Yarrowia lipolytica: one gene and its partners. The protein of the gene in region 3 purifies or fractionates together with the protein of the main gene of each other region. This does not show direct contact. Links are inferred from orthologs where the notes say so. Each region holds a gene or a part of one and is shown on either strand. Other genes may lie near its edges.

What was found.
Region 1: the proteins of YALI1_A21630g (region 3) and YALI1_E34933g purify together in Saccharomyces cerevisiae (affinity purification with mass spectrometry; 5 studies listed by BioGRID). This does not show direct contact. The link is inferred for Yarrowia lipolytica from reciprocal best matches to the Saccharomyces cerevisiae genes RRP9 and UTP10.
Region 2: the proteins of YALI1_A21630g (region 3) and YALI1_B13586g purify together in Saccharomyces cerevisiae (affinity purification with mass spectrometry; 4 studies listed by BioGRID, with this or other methods). This does not show direct contact. The link is inferred for Yarrowia lipolytica from reciprocal best matches to the Saccharomyces cerevisiae genes RRP9 and MPP10.

What each region holds. Positions count from the first base shown.
Region 1 is NC_090774.1:3,490,976-3,494,730, reverse strand, and holds the start of YALI1_E34933g (uncharacterized protein), read left to right. Parts: upstream 1-1,399; coding exon 1,400-3,755. Other genes in the region: YALI1_E34942g (uncharacterized protein), read right to left, coding at 1-464. UniProt on the Saccharomyces cerevisiae protein: Involved in nucleolar processing of pre-18S ribosomal RNA. Required for optimal pre-ribosomal RNA transcription by RNA polymerase I together with a subset of U3 proteins required for transcription (t-UTPs). Involved in ribosome biosynthesis.
Region 2 is NC_090771.1:1,357,699-1,361,197, reverse strand, and holds YALI1_B13586g (uncharacterized protein), read right to left. Parts: upstream 2,550-3,499; coding exon 624-2,549; downstream 1-623. Other genes in the region: YALI1_B13556g (uncharacterized protein), read right to left, coding at 2,890-3,499. UniProt on the Saccharomyces cerevisiae protein: Involved in nucleolar processing of pre-18S ribosomal RNA. Required for the early cleavages at sites A0, A1 and A2 during 18S ribosomal pre-RNA processing.
Region 3 is NC_090770.1:2,161,973-2,165,022, reverse strand, and holds YALI1_A21630g (uncharacterized protein), read right to left. Parts: upstream 2,099-3,050; coding exon 617-2,098; downstream 1-616. Other genes in the region: YALI1_A21620g (uncharacterized protein), read right to left, coding at 2,331-3,050. UniProt on the Saccharomyces cerevisiae protein: Involved in nucleolar processing of pre-18S ribosomal RNA. Required for efficient pre-rRNA cleavage at sites A0, A1 and A2, and biosynthesis of 18S rRNA.

The DNA of each region.
Region 1 (3,755 bases), on a different chromosome or scaffold from region 3:
TCCATCCTGTCGACACCGTGGCACGATGCCTCGTGCAGGTCGTCCAGAGTCATCAGCTTGTCCTTATGCCGCACCAGAGTGGGTAGAATGAGCCATAGTGGAGAGAAGGGAGTGGTCATGAAGACCGAGGGATCCTGAATCACACTTCCCTTGTCACCCTCGACTTGTAAAATGATGCTTCGGGGATCAGGTGTGCCCTCGAAGTGCGCATTGGAGCCGTTGATCTGGGTGATTTCGTATACCTTAGTGTGCTTGGGGTCGGAGGAGTCAACGACGAATCGAGCCAGGTTTCTGGTTCGAGGGTGTGTCAACGACACAATTGTTGGTTTTGTGGTTGGTGGCAGAATCACCAGGTGGTTCTTGGTCGTGCTCAGAGTGCTGGTCATGGTTATGTATTGTAGCGTAGACTGTTTTGGTATCAGGTTACGCTTCGATTTCGCTTCATCACATTGCTCATGCATCATCGAAGCTAATCCTGAACTTCAAGCAACGATGCTGCTTTGTACGAGTTGATGGAACGGCTTATGAGGAAAATATGGTCGCGGCTACGAGGAACGTATACGACAGCAATTGACTGAGACAGACGACAGTGACTATGTCACGTCGGACATTCTTGAGACAGCTAGGTGTTTATGTGGTCTGGACTCTGGGGCAGGTGGGACTTCTCATCTATTGGATCATGTATAAACCAAGTAATGGGCTAGAGTTAGTTGAAAAAGTTCTACACTCTAGCTGTAGACACTATAAAGTCTAAAATACGTCCCCAAACCAGAAAAATTTTACATGCATCCAACAATATCCATTAATGACATAATCCCTAGATAGTGTTATCTGTTCCAATTACCTTCTTCATACAGTATATACCGATACTTGTATACTGGACACATTCTTCACACTCATAACCTCAAGTATGCAATGCAAGGCTAAACAATTTTTTTGTGAAGAGATTGAGGTGAAATTTCAGAAAACCTACATACACAACCACATTCGTCAACGACAGTATTAATTAAAGGGAATAAGTGAGTACCAAAAACTGGGGACGACAGTCATATTGTCACTCCTCGTCCATTAAACTAACCCAGTGTCTACCCTTTCTCAACAGCTGTCCCAACTCGGCGGCGGATCTACCGTCGACCGAACCTGGAAGCTCAAGCAGCACTCCAAGTCGCTCATTTACGAGCCTCAGGTTGCCCAGGATCAGGACTTTTCTTTTATCCACGCTGTTGGTGTTGAAGGCCTGCGAGATCTCGTCTCTCTGGACTCCCGATTCGCTCAGTTCGAGAATAACCTGTTCAGCGACACCTCTATTGATGTCGATCGATATGTGCAGACCCAGGAGCAGAACGACCTGCTCGACAAGGCCATTTCGGCGTTCCTTTCTCTAATTGGACCCTACCTGATGCTCTCCCCTGCCGTCAAGGCCTTGGAATGGCTCGTCCGACGTTTCCATGTCAACCAGATGAACGCTGAGCAGCTTCTCCTGTGTGTCCTCCCCTATTACGACCAGGACATTTACCTGCGGGTCGCCGATGTCATCATCAAGCTCCCTCCCCTGTTTGTTTTCCTTAACAAGAGCAAGTCTGCTGCCCAGAACCCCCCTCGAAACCTGTTGATCCGAGCCTTCAGTGCTGATATGCGTCTGTTTGAACTCATCACCGAGTATATCGTTGGTCAGACTACCACAAAGACCTCATACCAGCGACAGCTGTCTTTCTGGTCGCAGTTTGCCATCTACGGCCTGGTCGCCGACAAGGCTGACCCCGAGCGAATGCTGGAGATCTACCTGCCGGCTCTGGCCAAGCTCGTTGTCACCATCGATACCGACTGCCAGATTGCTGCCTACATGGTTCTGACTGTTCTTGGTAACAAAATGCCTCTCAACAAGGAGGTATTCAACGCTCTCGTTGAGACCATCGCTGCAAACTGGACCCAGAAGGCCATCAAGAGCGGTATTCTTTGCATCACCCAGATGTACCAACAAAAGCAGGAGCCCGAGGTGCTGCCCACTAGCGTCATGACCGCTCTCAACAAGGCCGGTTTTCAGCCTTCAGATGTTGTCGCCCTATCTCAGAAGTACAAGATGGCTCTTTTCACCCTCGGATACTGCATGGCTCTGCTCCGGAACCCCGACGCTGCCAATTTCAAGGGTCTTGAAGAGATCATTTCCAACACCCAGTTTGGCTCTAACGAGTCCACCTTCCTTATGCGTTACATTGTTGACTGGGCCCTTGCAAAGGAGACCAACACGTCTGTTGCTGCTCTGGCTGCTCCCGTCATCGCCAAGTGGGTTACCCGAGGTGAGACTGTGCCTGAACTCGACCAGCTCGAGCTCAAGCTCCAGACTGTCTTTACTGAGGCTGCCGTCGAGGAGATGGAGGTCGAGGAGATCCAGGAGGATGTTGATGTCGAGTCTCTCGTTGAGCAGGCCAAGAAAGCCGCTTCTCAGACCACCACCTACTTCTCAACCAAGACCTCCGAGAATTACGCGGAACTTTCCAAGATTTTTGTTCAGCTCATCGAGCGAGGATACACTATGGACAAGTTTGTCAGCATGTTCTCCTCTGACATTGCTTCCCTAACCTTCTTTGCTCGAATTTGGGCTTCTCCCTCACCTCTTTTGGCGCGTCTTGCTGCCGTGGAGGCCGCTAAGACTATTATTACTGCCGCTGGCGAGGCCGACTTCCAAAACCTCATCCCTTACACATGCATTGCTCTTTCTGACGCATCCCAGCGAGTCCGAAAGGCCGCTGCTAGCTTCGCCGAAGTGCTCAAGTCCAAGCAGAACAAGAAACCCATCTGGGGAGTGGAGAAGATTTACACCAACGACTGCTCTTACCTCGGTTCTGGTGACGTTACCGTCCTTCTTAACGCTCTGTCTCTCGAGGAGTGTATTCTGGACGAGTCCTTTGTTATCCGACAGGTCTCTGATATGATCTCTAAGAAGAAGGGTTACAAGAGCGCCTTCTCAACCGCGGTTCTTGCCTACCTCGGCTCGCACGCGGTATCTCAGGAGATTATCGCCATTAGAACATCTCTTCTTACTCTGGTCACTTCTTCCGAGGAGCCCATTGTGCCTACCACGAAGGTTGTTGAGCCTCTGTACATCAACCCTCCCAACGATCTGGCGTACATTACTGAGTTAATCCGAACTGTCACCGACAAGACCGGAATCAAGTTCCTTGAGTCCCTTATCAAGAACGACTCCCCTATCTACGATGAAGTATGTGATATTGTCACCCAGCGACTAGTCAAGCTGTGGCCCACCCTCAAGGGAGATGCTCACCTGGGCCTGTTCCGATTCTTTGTTGATCTTTCCCTTGACAAGGACGTTCCCTTTGACTCTCTTGATGTTCTCGCTCACGTTGATGTCCCTACCAAGGTCTTCATCTCTCTGCTGGATGACTGCAAGGTCGAGCAAAACACAACCTCCATGGATGCTCCTTCTGACGAGTCTACTAAACGACGGAGACGATCTTCTTCGTCCACCGTTCGAAACCTGCTACAGGGCAAGCTCCACCATATTGCTGAGCGAAACTTGCGAAAGGTTTCTCTGGTTCTGGAGCTGCTTGTTGCATCCAAGACCACTGACGACGCTCTTCTAGGCCCTTTGTTCACTCAGCTTGGCGAGATTCTGACTCTCGGAACCGACTCCAACCTGCCTATTGACTACTGCCAGTCTCTGCTTGCTGATGTTCTTCTCAACATCATTCGAGCCAACCAACACGATGGAGCCAGCATTGATCGAGATATCCGAG
Region 2 (3,499 bases), on a different chromosome or scaffold from region 3:
TGTGCCTGTTCCTGTACTTTCTGTTTCCGGTAATTGAATGTGCAACAATAGTTGTCTCGGAGGGTCGTCCCTCGACCCCTTGCACCACCTTACACCCCCTGAAAATAGCTACGCAACATTCCCGTCGTACAACAACCCCATATCCTTACTCTTGCTGCTCTATCGTCGGAAGTAGTCGGACATAAGCAGGGGTCCCGTTGGACTTGCCTGAAGGGATGAGATGGGTAAGAAACAGTAAACCGATACACGGACAGCAACGGGTAACCGGAGCACCAAAAATCCCAAGTAGATCTCTGAATCGGCTTTGGAAGCGTGTAAATGGGGTGCGTTCAACGAGGTCGTCTGTGTTTCAGCTTGTCTCGGGCGTTGATAGACGAAGAGTGTTAGACACACGACAGAATGGTTTCATACTAGAACATCGATCGTGGCTGGTGTGTAAACTCCAGGGAATAACCTGTGTTTCATAGTATTGGAAACTCCAAGGGCAAGGTTGGTCGTCATCAGCTGTGTATGCTCTTGTAATTACCCATATTCAAAAATACGTAACTCTTCTACCTACAGCCATTCAATAAACATGCTCTATCAATTATATAATTTGTAACTGGACTTTTTGTTCGCTTCGATCACAGTTTCAGACTGTAACCATCCTTGGCTTTCTGATCCCTCTTCAGCTTTCCATCTAGTCCTCTCTTCTCGCCTCTCTTTCCAATCACCGTAACATTACCCTGCTTCAGAGTCTCCATGACCTGGGCCTTGGAGCCCTTGGCATCGCCCTCCTTGGAATGCACCGCAAGAGATCGCTGTCGCTCCTCCTTCTCTGCCAACTGCTTTCCTCGGGCAATCTTCTCCTTCTTCTTGGCTCGCTTTCGCTCTTCTCGGGTCATCTCAGCCTTGGTCTGAGGAAGGCCAGTCGAGCCAGCCAGTCGCTCTCTCTTATCGGCAACCTCGGGCTTGTAAACCTCCTGGGGAGCCAGCTGTTCCTCCTGGGCCAGAGCCTGGGGCTGGGCCTCCTCCATGGAGATGGCAGGAGCGTTGGTGACAATCTGGATGGATTTAGTGGGTTTGGGCTTGTAGGTCCAAGATGACAGAGAATCGAGGGTGTAGGCAACGTCGGCGTATAGGTCTTCGATTTCTCGATGGGCAGCGTCTCGCATTTCGTTAGGGGGCTCGTTCGTCGTCGATGGTTCGGTCTCTCCCATAGCCTCAGCCTCGTACAGATCAGCCAGAGACTTTTGCGACTTTTGCTCAGAGACCTCGATGAGCTTGCTCTTCTTGAACTGAGGCAGGTCGTCAAAGAAACGTCGCGGAAGGTCATCAAACTGGCCGCTCTTGATTCGGGCCTTGATCATGTCTTCCAGCGACTCGGTGACGGCCTGGGTCATGACCGGAACAGGTTTAGCTCCCCGCTCAAAGTCCAGATCCTCCTCCAGCAGCGAGTCCTTAGTTCGCTGGGCTGCTCGAGCCTCTCCCTTAAGGGTCCACTTCTTTTCGCCCACGTTTTCCTTCTCGTACTGGGCAATCTGCTTCATGATTTCCCGTTGCTGTTTCTCAAACGTCGACAGATGCTCGGGGGTGTCTTCGGCAATATCTTCCTCGAACAGATCCTTCTTAACAGAGTTGATCATGTCCTCGTATTCGTTTTCGTCCCCAGATCCCTCCATGTCGAAGTCAGCTTCGTTGTCGTCAGAACCGGCCTCGTTGTCAGACTCATCGTCAGACTCCTCATCCTTGTTCTCCAGAGCCTGTTCGGCAAGCTTTTGTCGCTTGGCAACCCGCTGCTCGTACTGCAGCTTCTTGTCAAACTTGGCCTTGCCGAAAAAGTCGTCGTACTTGATATCGTCGACCGAGTCGTCGCTCTGCTCGCCGAGCTCTTTGTTCCAATCAAAGTCGGGTCCGTCTTCTCCAAAGTTGTCAGCCTCCATGGCCATGATCTGCTTGTTGAACTTGTCGATATCGAAGAAGCCATCATTGAGACCGAATTTATCGGGCTTTTCTTCCCCTCCAGAATCGTCTTCCTCCTCCTCCTCCTCCTCCTCTTCCTCGTCGTCGTCTTCCTTTTCTTCCTCATCTTCATAATCATCAACAAGATTATCCATGTCCATATCAACATCGCTGCCTTCGTTGTCCTCCTCAGTATCGTCCTCGTCGTCCTCGTCGCCATCGTCAAAGACGTCAACTCCCTCATCCTCCTCCTCGCCAACAACCTCCTCTCCAGGAACCTCCTCCTGAGCGCTCTCATACTGGCTCTCGTCGTCACTCTCCTCTTCCTCATCTTCTTGCTCGCTGTCGGGCTGGATCTTGCCGTACTTGGGAAACACCTCGCCAATCATCTTATCACAAACGCCATCGATAACCATCTTGGCCTGAGCCCAGACCATCTCAGCATCCATATCCTGAACATGAATCTGATCAAGCACCGAGTACTGCTCTGAGAGAGGGTCCAGCGCCTCCTTGACCTTGGCAAGAGCCTGCTTCTTGAGCTCAGAATCGGGCACGGCCAACACGCTCAGCGGCTCGTCCAACGTCACAATCGTGGGAATTCCAGACATTGTGCTGTGCTTTTAGTGAATTGTGGTATAAAAAGTCCAAACTGAAAACTTGATCATGCACCCACAGGATTTTTTTCAAATAAACTCAGAGTTTAATCGGATGATTATGTAAGCGAAGGGCAATATGGGGAGAGGAATATGACATATATTTGTGGAATTATAGGGATACCGAATAGTTACAGGAAATTGAACTGGTTATAGAACTTATCATACGTTTACACCCGTCTAAGACTCTTTTACTTGCCACTTTTAGACCCAAGGCTCCCAGCTCACTAAAGTAGCTACTGCACTCACTACTTATAGTCACCCTCTTCGCACTCCACTTGTTTCATCGATTTGGTTACTCATGCTTGGACTTGAAAAAGACCTTTTTGTAGGACATGCAAAGGAGCCAGGTGGCCAACAGGTTGAATCCATGGTGGATCATGAATGCCTGCATCATTCCATAGAACAAACAGTGCAGACTGGTGTATGCCAACAAGAGAGAAGTGATGGAAGAACCACTGGGAATACGCCTGAAGGATAGGTTTTCCACAAACAGCAGTGTGGGGAGAATGGAAACGAGGTTGTGATGGGAAGAAAAGGTCATTGATCGCTGAACAACAATGCCCTGAATCCAGACTGCCAGCACAGGAGCATTTATGATACATGTCCAAGTCATGAGAACACAGATGGTGGAAATGTAGTTGTTGAATGATTGTTCCTGCGGAGCTTTGTTGGACTTGAAGTACGCAGTCATCACCAGAAGAGCCACAGTGGCCAGAGTAAAGGCCAGCTGGTAGGGAAAGAACAGCAGAACCAGAACAGAAATGACAGCCACAAAAACAGTTCTCTTGTGTAAAAGATCGCTGATAGGGTCGCCTGATTCTGACTCTGACTGGGCAGTTGTAGTGCTTTTGAAACAGAAGGACAGAAGAGAAGTCAATCCCATGACCAGTTCTGTGATCAAA
Region 3 (3,050 bases):
TGCGAAAGACTTAGGTGTCCATGGCGCTAATTACAGCTTCTAGTTCAAGGTGATATGATTGTTGCTAGCTGAACAAATCTACAAGTACAAGTACAAGTACTGTATGTACTGTACTTGTAAATAGGAAGATCCAATTTTTGTGGACCTGCAATTGGCGAATTATTTGGACTTGTACTTGTACTTTTACAGTAGTCTCATAAATAGATCAAAAGACACTTTCTCTACATAATAACATACTTCATTTCTCTCAATTTTCCAAGGAACAATGTATTTACACTGTTGACTGTAAAATTGTTCTTCAACTAAAGCCTAATTAATTAATTGCGAAATAATGTGATATTACTGGGTGATGAACAGCGGCAGGATAACTACACTCAGAACAAGTTACTATCAGCCCATGACTGTGACGTCATATCGTCTGTCTGACTTTTACACTATCATGTTTACTGTTTTTCTCAGAATGAACCGTGGATAACACATGTTCTCATCGTTCAGTCTTGAACTATTTACTTAATTATACGCACTCTGACACAATTTCATATACATCGATTTATTCAATCCTTACAGTCGCTTAGCAACCGTTTTCTATTAATGCTCTAGTCCTCCCTTCACATGCTTACAAGACCAATTCTCCAGTGTACAAACCATTTCTTCCTCCCACGTTGAGGAACCGGCCGATTCGCAGCTGCTTGGAGACCGCAGCAACCACGGCGAAAACCTCTTTGCCTCGAGATCCGTGCTCACTGACATCGATAGAGTCCACCACGCCCTTGACATTGGGCAGAGTGGCAATCTGGGTGAAAGACCGCATCTCGGATCCCAGCTTCCACACCTTGATCTCTCCACTCCATGATCCGGTAAGGAAAATGTCTGAGTAGGGGATGGCGTGGATTGCAGTAATGTATCGGGGAGATTGGGCAGGGAGAGGCACCTTGTCGGCCTCAGCCTCTCCGGTATGTGGAAGATCAGTCTCGGGTCTCTCCTCAACTCCATGCGCTCGTCTCTCAATGAAGACAGGCTTCTTCTTGCTCAGGGACCACAGACAAATGGAGCCGTTGTCTGAGCCCGTGACGAAGTAGTGTGAATCAATCATGGAACAGCAGTCGATGGAGCCCTCGGGGAAGTCCTTGATGTCTCCTCCCCGGAAAGTCAGACGCGACTCGTCAGCAATCTTCCACACCACAGCAGTTCGGTCTCGAGAGCCCACAGTCAGGCATCTCTCGCCAGCCAGAGCCGAAATGTCTGCAACCACATCCTGATGACCGAAAAGCGTCTCCACTTGCGACATTTGGTCCAGAGAGAAGGTTCGGACCTTGAGATCAGCACATGCAGCATACAGCTGGTTTGTGTTTCGTCGAAAGGCCAGACCCATGACGACTCCCCGTCGATCTCGGGTGTGGAAAACATGCAGGCACGACAGACTCTCGGCTGCCCAGACACAGATGGTCTTATCCTTGGATCCGGTGGCAACGTACTTGCCATCGGGAGACACTGCCACACACAGAATGTCGTCAATGTGGCCCTTGTAATCCTCCTTGGGGTTGAAGGCATCCTTGGAGGCGTGACGGTTGCCATAAACAACCTTGAGCACTCGAGGCTTAGTCACATCACTGATATCCCACTTGACCAGCTCGACATCTCGTCCAACTGTGTAGGCATAAGGGTATCGACAGGCCACGGCGGTTGGTCGGAATCTGCTCTTGTGAACTCGTGAAAAGGAGTTGGCCTTGACGTCCAGGAATCGGTAAATCAGACCCTTATCCTCAGCCACATCCTCCTCCAGGCGCCTTGAAAGATTCTCTCGATCAAGATCAGCAGCGTCGAATCCTATCTCGCCCATCTCATCCTTCAGGTTCTCCAGGTACTGGTTGGCGAGTCGTCGTCGCTTGTCAGCCTGGGTCTCCTCCTCGTCCTCACTGGAGTTTGCCGTGTCGGGGTTCTCAAAGAACTGCTCCTCTTCATTTTCACTCTCAGAAGTAATGTCTTCATCTGCCACGTTGGGGCGCTGGGGTTTGGCGACCGCCTTCTTGCCTCGTCGCTCATCCCGCTTGGGGGCCTTGCTCCTCTTTTTCGGGTTTGAAAAGAATGAATCAACCATGCTATCGTCTTGTGTGAGGATTTTCAGAGTTGATATGGCATAAATTTTCTGTTGATGCAAGCCTCGAAAAAATTAGACTTAAGGTGTAGGACGTCTGATAGAGTTCTTAATAAGCAAATACTTAATAAGCAACCATGGTACCAAAGGTGAGAACTACGAAAGCTACGAAAATCGTATTGTTGATAAACAATAAATAATTTGACCTATATCAATACAACCGACAAAGGGGTGGTTACATCTGCAAACGCCGGAGAACATGCACCTGTCGCAACAAGTCAAGACCCTCTTCTTGGTTCGTTTTGGCACTGTTGCACAGAGCTGTGATGACCAGTCCACATAAAGTGGTCAGTCTGGATGCAGACGATTTCATGACTGCCGCCTCTGGATGGGCGTTGCGGGTCTCGTGCAGCTTGATGAGCTGGTTGGACAGATCCAACACTTCCTCGGGGTCAGACGAATCAGCACCTCCCACTTGACCGACACGTAGCTCGACCTCCTGGAACGCCCGAATATACAGAATGAGTTCCATTGCGCGCTGTCGTTCCTCCAGCAGTTGGTTTTGGCTCTTCAGCACCTTGGCAATCCGTTCTGCTGTAGCGTCGACCTCCTGCTTGACCTGCTCCACCTGGCGTTGGAACAGCACCAATCGATGCTTGATCTCCTGCACCTTGCTGTTGCCACCGCTGACCGAGTTTCCGAGCGCCACAAACTGTTGGTACTCCTTGTTGATGAGCTCCACGACCTCGTTTTCAAGAATCTGGATCCACTGGCCGAACTCGGACTTGAGGTCCTCTAGCGCCTTGAATTGCGTCAGTTCCTGCGACAACAGGTCGTCTCCCGACGAGATCCGGTCTCTGTCGATCTGGACGGGGAATGGAAGAGACATTGTGTATGGCGGTTGGACTGTCGCTATACTGTCAGTATGTACGCACACAGGACACGGTTTGCATAT